Ovis aries: one gene and its partner. The protein of the gene in region 1 binds, or shares a complex with, the protein of each later gene. Links are inferred from orthologs where the notes say so. Each region holds a gene or a part of one and is shown on either strand. Other genes may lie near its edges.

What was found. The genes of interacting proteins can lie anywhere in the genome.
Region 2: ARVCF (region 1) and PA2G4 share a complex: the UniProt entries of both Homo sapiens proteins name them as parts of the ribonucleoprotein complex. The link is inferred for Ovis aries from reciprocal best matches to the Homo sapiens genes ARVCF and PA2G4.

Annotation. Positions count from the first base shown.
Region 1 is NC_056070.1:72,970,418-72,980,064, reverse strand, and holds the start of ARVCF (splicing regulator ARVCF), read left to right. Parts: upstream 1-4,049; 5' UTR 4,050-4,271; intron 4,272-9,647. Other genes in the region: TANGO2 (transport and Golgi organization protein 2 homolog), read right to left, coding at 492-621. UniProt on the Homo sapiens protein: Contributes to the regulation of alternative splicing of pre-mRNAs.
Region 2 is NC_056056.1:163,427,571-163,437,217, forward strand, and holds the start of PA2G4 (proliferation-associated protein 2G4), read right to left. Parts: upstream 5,858-9,647; 5' UTR 5,667-5,857; coding exon 5,579-5,666; intron 3,790-5,578; coding exon 3,661-3,789; intron 3,410-3,660; coding exon 3,304-3,409; intron 3,212-3,303; coding exon 3,142-3,211; intron 2,890-3,141; coding exon 2,797-2,889; intron 1,347-2,796; coding exon 1,283-1,346; intron 1,043-1,282; coding exon 964-1,042; intron 816-963; coding exon 737-815; intron 653-736; coding exon 519-652; intron 222-518; coding exon 127-221; intron 24-126; coding exon 1-23. Other genes in the region: ERBB3 (receptor tyrosine-protein kinase erbB-3), read right to left, coding at 8,095-8,615, 8,801-9,095, 9,518-9,589. UniProt on the Homo sapiens protein: May play a role in a ERBB3-regulated signal transduction pathway. Seems be involved in growth regulation. Acts a corepressor of the androgen receptor (AR) and is regulated by the ERBB3 ligand neuregulin-1/heregulin (HRG).

The DNA.
Region 1 (9,647 bases):
CACCTGCCAACGCCCACCCTCTCACCCCACCCCACCGGACAGGCCACCCAAGGCAGGAAGGCTTCTGGGAGAGGGGCTCAGGAGGACAGGCCAGCCTGGCTCTGAGTGACCTTGGGGACACCACTGGCCCTCAGCCTGAGTTTTCTTCACTGTGAATGCTGTCATCTGGCCTCAGACACTTGCCCTGAAAGGCTGCCCAGAGCACAAGGAGCAAGCAGCAGAAAGCAGTTCCCACAAGCTCCCGGCTGTAGGCACCCCTCACAGCTCCACCCCTTGTCCACCGAGACCTAAACAGCAACACACCGGTAGACAGGCCCGCAGCAGGACAGCAGGGCAGGCCTGGCTGACCACGTGACTGCCCCAGCAGAGGCTGGCTGGGCCTCAGGAGCTGTCCAAGGGCAGAAGGCCCACGGCAGATCTGTGGCCCAGAGGCGCACGGGGCAGCTGCTGGGGCAGGAGTGTCTTCAAAACCAGTGGCTACAGGGCCTTACCCAGGGTGCAGCCCTGCCCAGCTCCTTGCCCTGAACTCCCGTGAGGAGGTCCTGACGACCGAGCCAGCCCAGGAAAGCTGTGTCGAGGCGCGCTTATGACCTGGCCCCGGCTGCCTCTCCGGACAGGCATCAGCTATCCCCTGCAGCGTGACCCAGGGCTCCCCGGCCCACAGCCGCGTAGCCCGCCCACCCTGGCAGGGACACCCGCCGGGCCTGCGAGGCCCGCGCTCCGTCCAGGCGGGGACACTGGAAACGTGGTTTCAGGAACGCGAGGGACGCTCCGTCGGCCGGGGTCCGCTCGGTCTCCGACCAGACCAGGCGCTGGACGGGCAATCACCGCTTCGAGAAGGGGAAATCGGGACGGGCGCGGTGGCCACTGCTGAGTCCGAGTCCCGAGCCCCGCGCCCCGCAGGGAGCGCCGCCCGCCGCCCGCATCCCGGCTCGCACTCACCGCCTCCGCCGCGGCCGCCGACTTCCGGGTGCCGCGCCCGCGCGCCGCAGCCGCCACCGCCCAGGCCCCGCCCCCTGCCGTCCGCGCGCTCGCCATTGGGCAGCCAGGCAAGGGGGCGGGGCGGCAAGGCGCGAGCCCGGGCACCAGTGGCTGCCCACGCCGTCGCTCCGGGCTGCAACTCCCCGCGCCCCGCCCCCGGGGCTGCGCCAAGCGCCCGGAGGCGCCTCGTGACCCCCGCGGGCAGGAAGGTGCCGGCCCCCAGCCCTACCCTCGTGGACACGTCCCTGGCCAGCGCTGCACGGGGCCCTGCAGGAGGGTCCGCAGGGTGCGCACCTGGGGGCTGCCTCCCCGCCTCCCAGTCCGTGCCTCTGGACTGGCCATCTTTCCCCGTTGCAGCTCTGACCGCGGACATCCCTGCTACGGTCAGGACAGACGTCGGACCGGTCACCTCAGCCGTTAACCCGCCTCGAAGCTGTTCGGCAGGGCCGACCTCAGGATGCAGGGCTGCCGGCCTGATCTCCACACCATCGCAACTGAGCAAAAGCCACTGACTAGGTCCCTTACCGGAGGACAGAGGTGTTCGCTGCGGCTCCCTGCCCACAGTGGCCTCTGGGCTGTGTCTGGGGTCTGAGTGGAGATTCAGAGGCCCAGGGCTTGCTCCAAATGGGCCCTCAGCAAACTATGACGAGGATGACGATTATAGCAAGCTTGCTAATAATGGCTCTTCCCAGGTGGCACAGTGGTACAGAATCCGCCTGCCAACGCAGGAGATGCAAGAGATGCTGGTTCGATCCCCGAATCCGGAAGATCCCTTGGAGGAGGGAATGACAACTCACTCTGCTCCTGTATTCTGGCCTGGGAAATCCCATGAGCAGAGGAGCCTGGCATGCTATGTATAGTCCTTGGGGTCAGAAAGAGGCAGATGGGCCTGAGCCCACACCCAACAAGGTGCTTTGTTGTTGTTCAGGGATTAACTTCTGTCCGACTCTTTGAGACCCCATGGACTGCAGCACACTAGGCTTCCCTGTCCCTCACTATCTTCCAGAGTTTGCTCAGATTCATGTCCTTTGAGTCGGTGATGCCATCCAACCATCTCATCCTCTGCTGCCCCCTTCTCTTCCTGCCTGCAATCTCTCCCAGCATCAGGGTCTTTGCCAATGAGTTGGCTCTTCACTTCAGTGTGCTAAATGCTCTAACCCAGCATTCCAGGACACAGTGCTCATTTTTCCACTTTAGAGATGCAAACATTGATGCTTAGAGCAATTATGTGTCACTTGCTTGAAGTCAGAATTAAGTGGCCAGTGGCAGTGGCTGGATTAATTCCACAACCCCACAGTGAGGATGTAGGTGCCTGATCCTTTCTTGGAGAGCTGATGCCCTGTGAAAACTGGGACTCAGAGAGGGCAAAGGCCTGACTGGTATTAACCCCAGGCAACAGTCCAACTCAAAGCTGCGTGACACCCCTAAAGCCCATTCCACTCCACTGCTGTGCCGTCTCATCTGCGCTGCTCCACAGAAGCCCTTTGCAGGCAAGGAAAGCAACGACTCCCTGTGTCCCGGGGCTCTCCCTGTCCCGGGGTTCCCTGGGTCCAAGGACTCCATGTCCCGGGACTCCCCGGGACTCCCCAGGCCCCCCGTGCCCAGGGCTCCGCCTGTCCTTGGGCCCCCGGTGTCCCAGGCCCCCCCCCACCCCGTGTCCAAGGTCTCCTCCTGTCCTTGGGCTCCCCGTGTCCGAGGACTCCTGGCCAGCAGGTGGCAGACCCAGCAAGAGACACTAGTCCTCCTCCTGCCACCTGGCAAGAGAGTCAAGCTGGGTGGTGCCGGTGATTCCCCTCCGGGCAGCTGGATTCTGCAGTCCAGCTGAGAGGTGGTAGTGTTGGATAAGCAGAATCCAGGGCTTGGAGGCAAGTGGCAATGCCCAGGGGGACAACAGGCAGCCGCTGCAGAGTGATCTGGCCCAAGCCACTGGGCCCAGAGGTGCGGGACCCCTAGTGACCAAGCCCTCCTGACCAGCACCTTCCCGTTTTCTGCAAAAGGGGTGCAGCCGCGCTTGGGTTAGGGAGGTGGAAAACCCACTCCGCTGTCGGCCAACGAGGTGGGTCAGGGTGGGGCCTCAGGGCGACCGCGGGTTCCCTGTCACCCTACCTCTGAACACATACATTCTTAGATGGGAGCTCGTGACCTCGTGTGGTCGCCCTTTTGACCTCAAGCATCTGCAGCTGTTGGGAGCTTCTAACATCCAGCTGACATCTGGCTCTCCCTGCAGCATGTCACACGTGCCCCAGGGATGGCCCTACAGAACTGGCCAGAAGCCAGGCAGAGGGTGGGTGAGAGTGGGGGGCGGGGCTCCTGGGCCCTGTGGCCATGGGCCAGGGGCAGAGGCCCCCTTCCCTGAACTCTGACTCCTTCCAGCCCCCATCTGCAGCCTGGGTCAGGGAGGGAGGCCAGTCCCGCGGGCCCTGCTGGGTGGGCGGAGCCCACGCTGTGATAAATTCACCCCTGAAGGAGGAGAAAAGCCACCGTTCCCGAGGGCTCCCACCCATCGGGCCTCCACAGTGGGAACGCTGGGGCGATGAGGGTGGGAGACCGCCCAGATGGACTGGGTTGGAGCCCCACCGCCTCCTCCCATGACCTAAAGCTGGCGAGAACCTCTCAACGCCTCGGTGGGTTTCCCGTCTGTAAAACGGGAGGGCAGCAGAACGCTCCCTCGCGGACTGTGAGAAATATAACTGGTGCCGTTGGGCGGGCGCGGCGTGCAGCCAACAGCAGGCGCTGGAGGAGGATACCCGGGAACTTGGGGGTGGCGATAGAGCCGACCGGCCCAAGTCCGGGGATGGGGCGCCAGGCCTGCCCCGCTTCCCGTGCGAGCCGCATGGCCTGGGCACGTCCTCGAAGGCGGCCGGGAGAGGGCGGCCAGCTGCCCGGGCCACAGCCGCATAGGTCCCGGCAGGTGCCCTGGCCTCCGTCGCTCCACGAGGGGCCGTGATCGGCAGAGACGGACACCCCCAGTGGCCAATGGCAAGCCGGCGTCTCCCCGCGCTCGTCCAGTCGGCGCCGGTTGCCGGGCCTCCCGACCAATGGGAACAGTGGCGGCGGCGGGGAGGGGCGAGGGTCGCGGCGCCGGCAGGCCGGCTTTGCGCACGGGCCGCGCAAGGGCGGAGGGCTGGCCCGGGTTGCGCGGGGCGCTGAGGGTGCGCCCCGCACCGGCGCGATCGGAGGCCCCCGGACGGTCACCCGCGCCCGCCCGGGGACGCCGCGCGCCGAGGGACCGGCGGACGCCCGTCTGGGGCGGGGGCCGTTCTGCGGCACCGCCCACAACCGCGCTCCAGGTAAGCTCCGGCCGGGAACCCGGGTCGGGGTCGGGCCGGCACCCGGGCTGCGGGCCGGGCAAGGGCCGGAATCGAGGTCTGGGCAGAGGTCAGTGCCGGGGGTCCAGGCCGGCCCCGCTCCACCCGCACCGCCCCGCGGTGCGCGAGATCCCGGACCGGCGGGGGCGGGTCCCTTTGTGCGCGGCCTGGGGTCCTGCCCGGCCGGCCGTGCGCCTCGCTCCGCGCACCCCTCCGGTCGCGGCACAACCTGAGCCGTGTCCGCCCTACTCGACCCGGCGCCTTGGGCCGGCGCCACGCAGCCACGGAAACTTTCCATCGGCCGAGCGGATCAGGGGCTGGGGAACTTTCCTGGGGCGGCTAGCCGCCGGGAAGCACCCGCACGGCGGGGACGGGGAATGCCCCGGCGCCGGCGCCGCGCCCGCCGCCCAGAGGACGAGGGAGGGAATGCTGCCCGGGGCCCCTGCCCGGAGCCCCAACCTCGCTCCCCATCCTCGCGTCCCCTGCGCCCCGCTGGTGGGTCCCCAAACCGCTGGTGTGAGTCGCGTTCCCCTCGGGACTCGGACCAGATTGGCTGTTATCCTGAGCACGCAGCAGGAGATCCCCAGCCTGCTTCTTTTGATCTTAAATAATTAAATATTGGGTTATTACAACATGTCACCATTTCTAACCTCTGCGCAACGTGTCACAGTGAAAGCAGGAATTGGAGGCTCCCGTGCCCCTTTAACCCAAACCCAAAGGTGTTTAGGGACAAGGAGAAAAGCTGCTCCAAGGGTCTCATTCTGTGTGTGACCCGCTCTCCCTCGCACCCCTTTAACAGGTCACCCGAGTTGCCGCGCAGGGCCCGCGCCAGGTGAGGGTCTGTGAGCCCAGGGGCGTCCTTCCGATGAGGGCACGCCCAGCCCCGCACTGGGAGCCTCGGGGTCCAGGCTTCCGGAGGTCCTGCCGGCCCAAGCAGGTCCCACCTGCCCTGTCTCAGTGTATCTGGACCCGCAGCAGTCAGTTCCCGAGCAGGTGGTCTGGGTCTGGGGCTCCGCCACAGCGTGTGGAGCTGTGAACCTGGCACTCGTGTCTTCCCGCAGCCTCGCCTGTCCCTTCCGCAGCACCCTGTCTCTCCCCCATCTTCCTCACCCCCTAGTCTGAGGTCCTCCGGCACCCAGCCCAGAGCTGGGCATAGAGCCCGCACTGCACTCAGGACTCTGGTCTGGCCCTGGCCTGGGGAGGAGGTCCTGCAACCACAGTCCGGCTAGCCCCCACCCCGCTCTCCACGTGGGCACGATGCCTGCTACCCACGTGCCTCCTGGGGGAGCAGGGCCTGCCCTCAGTCCTGCCAGGCTAGAGCTGCCCCGCCCTCCGCCCCGGCCTGGGCCACATACCTCCCCCCAGGGTGGCCCCTCAGGTCACTTCTTGGTGCCAGGGTCCCTCTGCATCTCCCAGTTTCCCCGGGGGCTGCACCACCAGCCCCATCTGTGCTGCGCAGGATTCAGACGGGCTCTCTCTCCTCCACCCCCGGGCCACCAGTGAGATCCTCCACCTCCAAGAGGACCAAGGGGTGGATGGAGACACCAGCCCACCTGAACCAGCGGGAGGGAGGGAGGGAAGGAGGGGCAGCTGGGGCGGAGGTCCTGGGGTAGGTGCTGTGGGGTGCCAGGGAGGTGGCCGGGTTCCCGGGGCTTGCCCCAGCAGCGGCTCGCTCTGCTGCCTCATCCGACAAGACTCAGATGAGGTGTCAGCCACTCCGCAGGAACCCCAGAGTCAGAGCGTAAGTGGGAACTCGGGGTCAGAGAGTTACGGGGGGCACTCGGGGTCAGAGAGGAACTGAGGGGACTCAGGGTCAGAGAGTTACAGGGGGCACTCGGGGTCAGAGAGTTACGGGGGGGCACTCAGGGTCAGAGAGTTACGGGGGGCACTCGGGGTCAGAGAGTTACGGGGGGCACTCGGGGTCAGAGAGGAACCAGCGGGACTGGGGTCCAAGAAGAATGAGCAGGGGGACTCGGGGTCAGGAGCTCCTTCCTGGGGCTTCGCCTGGAGGCCGGCGCAGCCGACCGGCCCGGAGCTGCGGGGCATCTGCATTACTCGCCAGGTCCCTCCCCCTTGCCCCTCCCCGGGTGGTGGGGGGCGGTGGGTGTGAGGCACAGCCCCCCCCCCCACCCCGGGGCCCTGGCCGACCCGGAGCGCCGGCGCCCTCCAGCAGAGCAGGCACAAGCTGAGTGCGGCCACCAGAGGGCGCCCGGGGCCGCCGCAGCCAGCAAGAGCGGCTCCACCCAGCCCCCCAGTGCGGGGCGGGGGCGGGGAGGGGGGGTGCGGGCGGGGGGTGGGCCGGGGGGCGCGGGGGGGGGTGCGGGGGGTGCAGGGGGGCCGGGGGGTGCGGGGGGTGGTGGTGGTGAGGATGACCCCTTCCCCAGGCGCCCAGAGGCACTCACTGGAGCTTTGCTCTGTCCGGGCCCCCTGCCCAGGGCGGGGAGCTGGAGACAGCACGGCCCCTGGGTGCTGGACACAGCAGGAGAGCAGGCTGGGGCCGGGCTCCCAGTGGCCATCCTGTCATGCACGGCCCCAGGGCCCAGGCCAGGCCTCAGCGCCAGCCACTCAACACCAGGCTGTGCCTCTCTGCCTCAGTGTCCTGGGTGGCACAGAGGGCACAGCCAAAGGGGGGCCTTTCAAGATGCACGGAGTGACCAGTGGCCAGCAGGGCTGGCCAGGATTTCCATGGTGGAGCAGGATTCCAGGCTAAGCACAGGGCAAGCTTGGGCTCCTCACCACCCTTCATGGCCCAGAGCTGCTGGCCCATGCCCCCAGCCCCCAGCCTGGGCCCCATCCCCCGGCCCCCCAGCCTGGTCCCCACACCCCTCCAGACTGGGGTTGTGCCGTGGGGGCTCCCTCACGCTGCCAGGTGTCTCTGATCTGTGCTTGCTATCGTGGCTCTTGGCCGGCCCCTGCAGAGGGTTGCTGCCAGCCGGGGACATCGCAGGCCTTTCCGGGGCAGGAGCAGCCCTCTCAGAGCCCGGGCTCTTGGTGCAGGGTCCTTGTTTAGCTGGGACCGCTGAGCCCGCCCACCGGCTCTGAGGGTTGCTGAGGAGGGCCCCCTGAGCCAGGCACCCTCAGCCTCATGGCACAAGCCCCGCCGCTACTACTGCCTTCATGCCTCAGGCCTGCCCGTCTGTCTGTCCATCCACGGCCCCAGGGCTCTTAAGAGGCTCTGCCCCCAGCACCCAGGGTACAGTGCTGCCCAGGCGAGGCGCCCTGGGCACGCAGACCCTGCCCAGGTCCACACCCACCACGCGCCATCCAGACCCTCCCAGTTCTCAGTCCTTCTCGCCCTCACGATGCCCCCCACCCCCATACTGGCCTGGACCCTGGGTCGCCTGTTGGCCCACTGGAGCCCACTGGAGCCCCCGAGGTGGGAGCCGTGTTCTTCCTGCGGTTAGGTCGTTATCAGGACTGACAATAAAGGCACATTCTTCTCGTGGGACGAGGTCTTTGTCAACGCTTAAGCCAGAAGCAGCTGTGCCCCAGACATATCACATTCGGAGCAAACGCTGATTCCTGACCTCGGTGGGGGCCACAGGTCCCGCCACAGCGGGCAGACTCCCAACCATACCTCCCTCCCAGGCACACACGTGGACACGCGTGCACACGTGCCTGGCTCGAGGCCCCTCCCCCCCACCCCACCCCCCGCCTTCTTTCTTAGCTCTGGCCCTAGCCTCCTGCTCTCCCGTCACGATCCTGCCCCAACTGGAAGCCCTTCCCCTTGTTGAAGGGGCTGCCAGGAGGCAGAAGGCCGCACCCTCAGGCCCCAGAATGAGCCATGTCCACAAGGAAAGTTTGGATGGAGGCTTGAGACCACGGGTGACAATGCAGAGTAGGGGGGAGATCTCCCATCACTGTGGTCCCTGGGGGGGGGCTAGCGCCTGTCAAACCACCTTGCTTTTCGTTTTTCAGCAGTATCGCCAGGCCTAGCTGCAAGCAGAGGGGAGGCGTCCCCAGGCCTGACACAGGTGGAGGGGAGGCATCCCCAGGCCTAGCTGCAAGCAGAGGGGAGGCGTCCCCAGGCCTGACACAGGTGGAGGGGAGGCGTCCCCAGCACCCTGACTGAGACAGGCAGCTGCAAGGTCCTCGGTCTGGGCCTGGGAGGCTCGCTGTCTCCCTAGGAGGCATGCGGACGGGGCCAGCCTCAGGGGACTTGGGGGAGGTGGGTCGTGGACCCCTGCTCTGGCCCTGGTGTGGGAGCATACCACAGCAGAGCGCACCCAGCCTCGGGAAGCCGGAGCGGTTATCTGCTTACAACTCTTACGCTCCAGGTTTTGAAGGATAGTCAGAAAGAAGCGTAAGAAACACCCAGGCAGCCAATGCTAAGTGTGGACGCGACAGACCCAGTGCGAGAGGGCACGAGAATGTGCTCAGGGTCCTGTGGGGCGGGCCCCTGTCAGCGCGCCGTAGGATGCCCCTGGGCTGGGATGACCAGCCAGGGTCTGACCCTGTCCAGTAGGGACTCAGCCCCACAGATGGGCCTCAGCAGGTGCCCTCTGGATGAAGAGCCCACCGATGGGTGTCTGGATGTGCTGACCTCCCCGGGGACGTTCCGTCCTCACACGGGTAGAAGGCAGGGCGGCTTGTGGTCAACAGAAGGACGGACTGGGGCCTGAGTGTGTGTGTGCGTGCCTCTGGTCAGCCTCAGCCCAGGTGGGCACAGTGCCCCAAGCTGGACAGGGCTAGCCGTGAGGCCTCCTGCCAGCCCCGCTTGAATTCACCAACGGGCTGGGCGTGGACCACAGATACTGGCTTGTGGGACGCCCCTGCGTTGGGGACAGCCCACCAGGACATCAGCCGGGCAGGTCTGTGCTGCCCTGACGTGGACGTCCGGCCGGTCGGTGCCCACGTGTTGCACAGGCCGCCAGCTCTGATCCTGCTCGGGGCCGCTCCCGCAGAACCAGAGAGGCTGGAGCCACCAGGAGTGACGGGCCACAGGCCCAGGCGCTGTGGGAGGCTTTGGCCAGCGGGGCCACGGTCAGAGGGGGAGGAGCTGTGCACGGCGTGTGCCGGCCCTGCTCTGTGGCGACAGCTCCAGGGGCACAGGGCGCGGCGTCCCGGGAGGGAGGCAGGGACGGAGGCAGAGGGGGCCCCGGGCCCACATGGCCGGGCAGTCCGTTTGCCATGCCAATGGACTCGCGGAGGGTGGCGGACTCTGAGAACACCAGCCCAGCGTCTCAGTGGCCAGGCTGCGGGGCCGTGCGGGGCCTGCTGAGTCGGGATGAGGAGGCGCGACCCGCATCCAGGCTGTGGGGCCTCTTGGGGTCAGGGCCGTGCGCAGTGGGCACTGAGGGCTTGTTACAGCCTTTCAATGTTTGCCTCTGGTCGGTGACTTTCTGTCTGAGAAAGTTT
Region 2 (9,647 bases), on another chromosome or scaffold:
TTTAAACTGGGCAACAAATTCACCTATGAGAGAAACAAAGTGTTTTGATAGAATGTCCCCTTGCCTTCAAGGAGAAGGGGACCATAATCGGAGGCTTCAAACTACAACTCTCTTCTCAGAACTCACCCTCCTTCTCATAGAGAACATTAAATGGTTGTAGCAGTTCATGTTTGGCGCACTCCACCACACCCATGCGGGCCTTCTTCTCATCTTCAAATGCTCTGGGGAGGGGAAGACAAATTCAGGTATCCTTAACTCCCTGTCATGTTTTACCACTTTGTTCCTGTTTTTAAATAACTCCTACCCTCAGGCAGAAATCATGCGTAGGATTGCTTTTTGTTTACACTACTTCCTATGAGAGGGAGAAACAGAGAAGGCATGCATGCAGGCTGGAGCTACAAGTCTAGGTAGAAGAGGAGGGAAAGAGGGCAAGCAGGGTAGGGGAAGGAAAGAGATCTGGCTGTATGGTCTACGGGTCAGACTGTTCCAAGTCCTGTCCTCGCTAAGTGCAGTAGTACCTTAAAGTAAAGGGCATGGCATCAAAACGCCTTTCAACCTCACTGAAGAAGGCACGGGAAGTTTTCATTTTCAGGCCATACTGCTTAGAGGGGTCTCTCTTGTAAATGGTGGTTCTCTGTCCTGCATCCTTGGCCTATAAAACATCATATTTGATCTGGTGCTCTTGGAACCCACCCCCAGCCTCCCCTCTCTGCCGGATCTGGTAAACATTCATCACCTTGCCCTCTCCTGAGCTGACGAGAACATCCACAGCATATACTTCATGTACCTCAAATTCTGCTTTTTCATGGTCTTTCCTAAAAGAACAGAAAGGGAACAATAAGGAGCAATAAGTGGTTCCTGGAGCTTAGAAGAGAAGGTGGATAAGATTAGCCTGGAGTATGGAAGAACTTCGTAACTAGTCTTATATGACAGAAGGTAGACAGTGGGATACAGGGCACCTACTTCTGCTGGTCTGTGGGATTCTGGATAATGGTTTTCTCTCCATCAATGACATGCTGCTTCAACTGGTGTGACAGCATACCTGTAGAGGACAAAGCCTGTGGCACCACTCATCTAGAATCCCCAAAGGTTTCCAACCCACCTACCCAAGTAGAGCCACGGAGCAGGCAATGAGAGCAAAGTGCCCAGCTATGGAAACGGGGCACTGAGGTTTGCGGCTTGGATTATGCCAGAGCCAGGGTGGATGCTCAAGGGAACAAAAGTCTTAATTCTGCTAAACCACTCATACTGAGACCCTCAACCCCACTATCTGAAGTCTCACCTTCTATTGGTGTGCAATTAAATGAGTGGGCAACTTTGTTCCAGGCTTCTGTCACTTGTGTGTTCTAGAAGTACAAGATCAAATAAAACGTAAAATACCAGGAGCTAGTAAGTTGTCTACTATGAGAAGCAGCAGCATAAAGAACTGAGTTCTAATATCCTCCAGCAAATGCAATGATTCTCAGTAATTTTTCATTTCATAGCCCTAGCATCTTACAACCTAGAAATCAAATTTGCATACCATTTTACAAAGCACTATCACAAAGATGGTCTGCTTAGACAACAATTCTGTAAGGTGACTAGTGCCAACAATTCTGTATGGTAATCTACATCCTAATTTGGAGGAGGAAACTGAGGCTCAGAAGGGTTATATGATTTGCTCAAGGTTAAACCAGTTAACCAAAAGAACCTGGTATAAACTCAGGTTTTCGGATCACAGTGTTTAGTCCATGATACCTGGCATTCTAACCTGTTGAAAGGGTACAGAAAGTTTTATTTTGTCCTCTTTACCTCTTTCAATCATGAGCTGATCCTCACCTAAATTATAGTTAAGAGAAAAAGAAAAGTGAATTTCCAATCATAGCTATTATTAAACTACATGTCAGGTACTGTGATAATCACTTTATATGGATCATCTCAATCTTCACAACCCTGTGAGAATGAGGCACAATTTAATTTTTCCCACTTTACAGATGAGGAAATTTTGAAGTTATTTCATTTTAAATCAGTAGTGGGTGGTAATGGGATGAGAATCCAGAAAGTCTCAGGTCATAGCTAGACAACAGCCACTACATTAATAGTATCTTATAGTAAGCATATAAATAATAAAAATAATCAATATGTAAAATATTAATAGCTAACAAAAGGGTTAACTCTGTGCCAGGTACTATTCAAAGTGCTTTATAATAGCTCTTTGATAGATACCACTGCAAGAAAACTACAACAGAGGCTGAAGTAAAAACGATGCAATTAAGTGATAATGGGGACAAACGGATAAAAAGGGTGAAGAGCACAGAGAAAGAGGATGCTTTATGTATTGAACAGGTTCTGAAATCTAAGTGTTAGACAAAGTCTCCACTAGTAGTCTAACATGTTATTGTATGAATTCATGAGAAATTTATGATCCCTGGACGTCCTAATATTGTCTTGGAAGGGTCTTTGGCCTTTCTTTGCCACAAATTTACTGGTACTATTATTATTTTTGTGTTATAAGCTTTTAAAACTTAGTTTCAATATCTGTGTTTTATTGTGAGCTATCTATCTCAAATTATTTCCAGGAACAATACACATCCAAAACATGAAAAAGGAAGGATCTCTATAGGCTCCATAAGAAAAGGAGCACCCATCATCCCCTTACAGTGAGCATCATACCACCTAAGGTAGGCACTAAGATTTAACATCTCTTCGGTTTAAACTCTTTTAGTTCCTGCCTCTTCTCTTTCAGTATAGAATAGCAGTACATCCTGAACGCACCTTTGGCTCTATCAAGCTTTGGACTTGGACTAAACAGCTCACCTGATTTCCAGGTTTGACCAGGCGTAGGGCAGCTTCAGCACAAAGGTGAGCTGCCTTAATGACATCTGCTTTCCGCCCTGTTACTTGGGTCCCCTGTAGAGGAGGAAATTCAGTCAGTGCCTTCCAAAAAAGCTGATCAGTTAATATCTGTGTGTCCATTATGTATCCAGTGGTCAGGAGAGAAACCACCCTTTCCCCTTTTATTCTTTAGAGATTCTCAAAACTTAATGTCGTGGTAGTAGGTGAGGATAAGAGGCAGCAGTGGGAAAAAAAAAAACAACCCAGCAGCAGTGAACCCTCCCCAGCTCCCCACTGGCTGCATAGAGTTCAAAGCAGTCCACCTACCTGAGCCACATCAACCACAAAAGTGTGAGCCACATTAGCGATGAAGCCATCCACGTGGACCCCAAGGTCACTGAAAGGCAAGAGCAGAGTACAGCATTAGCAACTGGCACTATTGTGAATGCCGAGGAAAAAGACAAGTGCTCTAAAATGGTTTAAGCTTACATTTTTACCAAGTCACCTTCCTTGAGAATATAGTCCTGGTCGCTCTTCAAAGGGGAGAAGTGACATACACAGTTATTTACTGAAATGCTGGTGGGAAAGGCAATACCTGTAAAGAAACAATCAGCCTTACTGCCCTGCTCGCTCTCTTGGAACCCTCCTGCCCCTCTGAAAAATGAATGGATTTTCTTCAGGGTCTTAAGTTTGATCAGTCTGGATTGAGTGGGAAACTGAATTCCCCTTGCCATTCCAAATTTCCAAATATCTCAACCAGTGCTGGGGTAAAGGTTGCATTATTACAGTAAAACAAACAGGACTCAATAAGGGTCAAACTTAATTAGGAGGGGATTGTTTTTTTACCTTTCTTCATTTCTTTTTCTTTTTTGAAAATCTTCCCTGTTTCTTCCATTATCATGGCATCCCCTTTCTCACACAGGCTCAGTACCGACACACCTGAACAGGATGCTTCCACCAAAGACCGAAGTACCCCTGGGAACAGAATCCCATATATCAGTCCTGAATGTGTTGTCTAAGTTAATGTCCAAGAAACACCTAGAAGTCGGACTTAGAGTTTCTGAGTCCAACTTAGAAATATTCCCTAGTACCACTGCTCTAAGGATAAAAAAAAGAGGAATATGTTTTGCCTCCTAGAATGTACCTGTCATCTCTATAAATCTCTACCTTCCTCTCCTTAACTTAAAAAAGCCAACACTCCCTTCCCTCCTTTATATAGTGTGACAGCTAGGTATGCATCACCTGTCTCCTAAGGCAAGGGAGACTTTCCAAAGATGATACTTGTGGTATGGTAGGAGATTTATGAACTTCAAGGGCATTCTCACCAAGATATCCAACACATGCAAAGGAGACTGGAGGAAATTTATAGGCACCAGGGACAAGAAGGTAGACATACAATTGCTGACTCTAAGCTGATGCATTGTTAAATGCTACTTTCTTCCTTTCCCAGACACCCCAATTAGGAGGTGTTAGTAATCTCAATTTATGTAGACTTATTTCTTCAAATAACAAGTCAAGAAGACTTAACCTTGGTCCCTGGGCTCAAAGAAGTATGTGACCCAAAAGAGTTTCAAACTGGTACTGGGAATCACAGGTGCCTCAGAAGTTATAAACTGCAAGAGGGAAAATTTTTTTTCCTGATTTAAACCACTACATATCCATTGTGTTACAAAGCATTTATTCTGTTCACCCATACCCTCTCCATGGTCCATCCTGGACTTCAGATTTTATTTTTGTGATCCAAGTTTTGGTGATTTTTTGAAAGTATGAAAAACTCAGATTTTCAGTCACAGGATCAAAAGCATCCTAAATGCCTGTCTTTACTGTCAGAACCATTTAAAAGCCCAAAGACAAACATTTTGTGTCCTCTAACTGGGTTTTAAATTGTAAAGAGAGAAAATAGAAAGCGAGACATCTGTAGAGAGTGGCAGGCAGCTGCTGAGAAAGTCAAGAGCACAATCTTATTAAGGATGACTTACGAGATTCTAACTTCAGACCCCCTTTAACAGCACTATTCATAGGTTTGACTGGCTGGGGTGAGAAGGACCTCAAAACACTCCCACAGTTGTGAAACACCTAAGATCAAATTAGACGACTAACTAAAGCCAACCCCGCAGATTGGAGGTACAATGAACAACTTCAAGAACAGTCAAACAAGAGTTATGGGGTGCTCTCTAATAGTCCCTGAGTTGGCCCTAGAGTAGAAGGCGGCCTCCACCAGGGAAGGAGTTGAAGTAAAGAACGAAGGACTACAGCAAAGCACGTGGTAGGCAAGCTGGTGTCAGGGACACAGCGGAGGAAGGTAGCCGGCGAGCCGCAGGGGACCTGGCAACACGTGCGGGCCAGGCTCCTGACGGCGGGGAGCCGCGACAAAATAGAAGCGCTTCATTTTCGAGGTGGTCTCGCTGCCACCAATATCAGAGGCAGAAATCTGAACTGAAGGGTGAGGAACAGGAGGTACACCTCGCCTCCTTACCAACGGCCTAGGGTCGGGGCTGGCCAGGGGCCCAGCTCTGCTCTTCTCCCAGCCGCCCTGCCGACCGTCCGCCAGAATCTCCAGAGACTCCAGCCCAGGCCCAGCCTCTCGGGTCCCAGGCGCGACACGGAGCCTGCCCACCACGCCACCTCCAGCAGACCTGAACTGGGCCCTCACTAACCCACACTGCGTGACCCCACCACTCCAGCTCTCAGGAGCCAACCCATCACCGTCTCCCTTGATTCTCCCTCCCAGCCTCAATATTCGGACCCCTGAGGCCGCACTCACGGTTAGCAATGTCGCCCCCCATCTTATACTTGGTCACGACCAGGTCCTCGGCGATAGTTTGCTCCTGTTGCTCGTCCTCGCCCGACATCTTCCCACCACCACCGCAGCCTCGTTTCTCTTGAGCCGCCGCCTCTGTCGCCCTTCTCAGCCACAAGCTGTGGTCAGAAACCCCTTCGATCCGAGAACAGACCGCGAGCAAAAGCGCGAGCAAGCTAGGGAGCGGGAGGGCAGGCGAGAGCGAGAAACTGCGAACGCGCGGGCTGAGGCGCAGGGCACGCTGGGACAATGAGTCCCTCCTACTGCCAACCCCTAGCCGCCCTCGTGGACTACTGAACTACAATCCCCAGCATGCTTTTCGCGCCCCTAAGCCAGGCCCTGGGGCCTTGCCCTCCGAGAGCCTCGCACGCTGGAATCGCCGAGCACGCTGGGAAGGGTCAGGCTCCGGCGGGAAGGCGGAGCCGTTGGAAAGCACGAGGAGAAGCGTGGTTTCTCCCTGAAAAACCATATACACCAGGAACGACGAGAGATAACCCGTAATAGAGAGGGGCGGGGTAAGGGGGAGGGGCGGAGCTACGGCAGCGAAATAGGTTTGGAGGCTGAGGGGCGGGGTGGAGCCGAGGCGAGTCGGGAGGATCGTAATAAGGGTGGGGAGGTGGGATACGCCCTTCCCTGAGTCCCTGGAGCGGCCGGCAAGACCGGCCGGGCCAGTCCTCTTGTCCTCAGGTGCTGGGAGAACCGGGAGGGGCAGAGCAGGTATGGAAAAAGATCGGGAGGGAGTCCGGGAAGCAGGGGCTGCTTGGGCAGCCAGATTTCTGAGCGATTATCCCGATCTAAAGACCGGACTCCCACTGAAGATGGCACTGTTGTTCTAACAAGCTTTGATGGCCATCTGGGGGAAGTGTTCACGGAGACTTTTTTTTTAAGAGAATGAGTTTTAAAACATGAATTTCAGTATTCTACCTCTTAGGACTTTTTCTAACGTCCCTGAACGCGTTGTTTTGTTATTCCCAGTTGGTTGCCCTATAGAGATTTAATAGTAAAACCCTAAAATGAAAAGGACTGTGCTCTATGCTCGTCTTAAGGGAATAAGGAAAAGTAGGGATGGAGAAAGCGACATGGGGCCCAGTAGGATTGTCAAGAGACAGAAGCATCCACTGCTGAGAGACAGGGAAAAAGAGTGTTCTATCTCATACACTTTGACAGGTTTTCATTTGACAGACAGAAAGCTGCAAAACTTTGGCATTTTTATTCAGACGTATAAAAACAAAACAAAAAATTTCAGGGATAAAAACAGATACCCCAGTTTCCCATCCAAAGGGACAGAGGTCTGAAGCTGGGTCCTCTTTCTATCCCTACTGGAAGCTTCCCACGACTGGATGAGAATAGCTCCTGAAAGTGGCTCTTGGGACCCCCGTGAATCTGTCCCTTGGGTGGAGCTCATATACAGCACATGTAGGCTACGGTTTACACAGAGATGTCCAGTTATTTTTCCTTCTGACCACCCCCTTCCACTTCTAGGATAAGAGGTCAGGGTGAAGGAGGAGGCTACAGTAGTTGTTGGAGTTAGACTTGATTCAGTGCAAAAACAAGAAGACAATGCCCCTTACCAGGGCTCTGGCTTACATCAGTTTTCCTTGATACCTTACAGTAAGAGCACATGCATTGGAAGATTTTGAATCATGGACCTGCTACTTGATTTACTTAATCTCTTTAAGGCTCCTCTATCCATGGGATTCTCCAGGCAAGAATACTGGAGTGGGTTGCCATTCCCTCCTCCAGGGGATCTACCCGACCCAGGGTTCGAACCCGTGTCTCCTGTGTCTCCTGAATTGCAGGCGGATTCTTAACCCACTGAGCCATCAGGCAAGTCCCTCTCTAAGGCTCAGTTTCCTTATTTGTAAAATAGGCTAATACCTAGGTCACAGAGTTGATGTCAAGGATGAAGTGAGATAAATTTAGGTAAAGTTTAGCAGGATGCTTGGCACATAGTAAATGCTCAATTAATAGTAATCATTAATATCTACTCCCAACCTCTTTCTTCACTCCACAAGATTTCACTTCTCATTCTTTCTGCAGGGTTAAGGATCGTAAGCCAAAATTTTCCTTTCCCCTGCCAGGTTCCCCCCTTTCCTCTTCCTTTAAAGTCTAAAGGGAAATAAAGGCATACTTTAAAGCCTAGTGTCAACAAGTCAGAGTCTAAGAAAAAGGGACAAGAGTAATCCTTCATATCTCCAGGGAGTTCCCCTGAGGAAGCTGAGGAATGGGATTGGGAAAGCACACAAAATAGGGAAAACCATCTCCTTTCCTGGGATCAGGAAAGAGAAAAAGTGCACAGCTGGCTACATAACCACAAGAAATTTGTGTCAAAGTGTTTAAGGCCTCCATAATTTGAATGGAATTGTCTAGGACTAGGAAATGGGGCTGAGACCTGTGAGGGAGAGAGACCAAGAAGAGGGTTACTCTCCAGAGGCACTAGCTGCCATCAAATGCTCCCTGAGCACCTCAGTGAGTAAGGGTTATATTCTCTGGGCATTAGCTTTGGGGAAAAGCCTGCTATGCCAGTAATCAGGGTTATCAAAGGCAGAGTCAGTGGCTTCTAAACTACGTAAAGCTTTGAGGCGGGCATAGTGGACCTGGGGCCCACGGAGTACAGGCCCCTGGAAAGCTCTCATTTCTTCATACCCTTGCTCAGAGGCTGGGCAGGCGCCCATGGCTGCATAGTCCCCCCCAGCGCCTCCTCCACCACGTCGCCGATTCATATATTCATAGTCCTCATCTGGAGTTGTGCTGGCGTTGGGCATGTTGGGCACGGGGTTGAGTGGGCAACTCTGTGTGCTGCCCAGGGAGGCACTGAGGTCTGATCCCACATCCATGTACTCATAACCCAGCTCCTCGAGGGAACTTGGCCTAGGAGGACGAGATGGACTGCACCTTCTCCTCCGGTTCATGTATTCATATTCCTCATCATCGTCGTCTTCTGTACCCAGAACAGAACTGAGACCCACTGAAGAAAGGGTGCCTTCCCGGGAGGAGGTACCTAGGGGTAGAGAAGAGAGGCTAGGTATGTGGTATTACTTCATGGTAATAGGCAGTGGGGAGTAGAAGGATGTTAGGAAAAAATGAATAGGGAAGGATATGCTCGGGGAAGACAAAAGGATTAAGAGGAGCCTGCAAAAGGAGGATTAGAGAAAGATTTGAGGAAAGCAGAGCAGAATCAGGCACCTTTGATGCGTGCATCTGGCATGACATAACCATTGACATCCTCTTCCTCTAACCCTGGTGGGGACTGTGGGGTGACAGGAGTAAGCAGGCTGTGGCGCTGGGAATGGTAGGCACTGTCTCCCCTTGGCCGTGGGCTCCGGCTCCGGCTCCTACACATAGACACCTTCTCCTGGAGCTCAGCCTCGGAGCCTGTCACATGGCCCTCCGATGATTCTGATGCCAGGCGTCCCCGTGGCATTGGGTGCAGAGAGGCTGGACGAGGGTACCGTTCATTGCCTCCAAAAATTGCAGACTCCTAAGGAGGAGAATAATACATGGTGATTTATACAGAAACGAGCGAAGAAGAGAAATTTGTCTAGAAAGAGATTAGGCTGTTCAGCACCTTCTGTTTTGTAGAACCCTGATCAAACGAGATTTCCAAAGTCTCCCCTGCTACTACCTACCAATCCTAAGGCACTGCCACCCAACCTCTTGGTATCCTCTTTTATTAATTTTTAAAAAAATGTTTTATTTTATATTGGAGCCTAGTTGATTAACAATGTTATGTTAGTTTCAGGTGTACAACAAAGTTATATGTGCATCTATTCTTTTTCAAATTCTTTTCCCAACTAGGTTGTTACAGAATCTTGAAGCAGAGTTCTCTGCCCTATACAGTAGGTACTCGTTGGTTATCCACTTTAAGTATAGCATCTTGGCCTCCTCCTAAACAGACCTTACCTGGCCAACCTCCCCAAGATTTCCCTGGTTCATAGGCATATATCCAGATGATGGACTTACAAGGCTCTGGCTCTAGGATGAAAAAAGTGAGGAAGAGATTTAGATTGAGAGAGAAATCTGCTCACTAGAA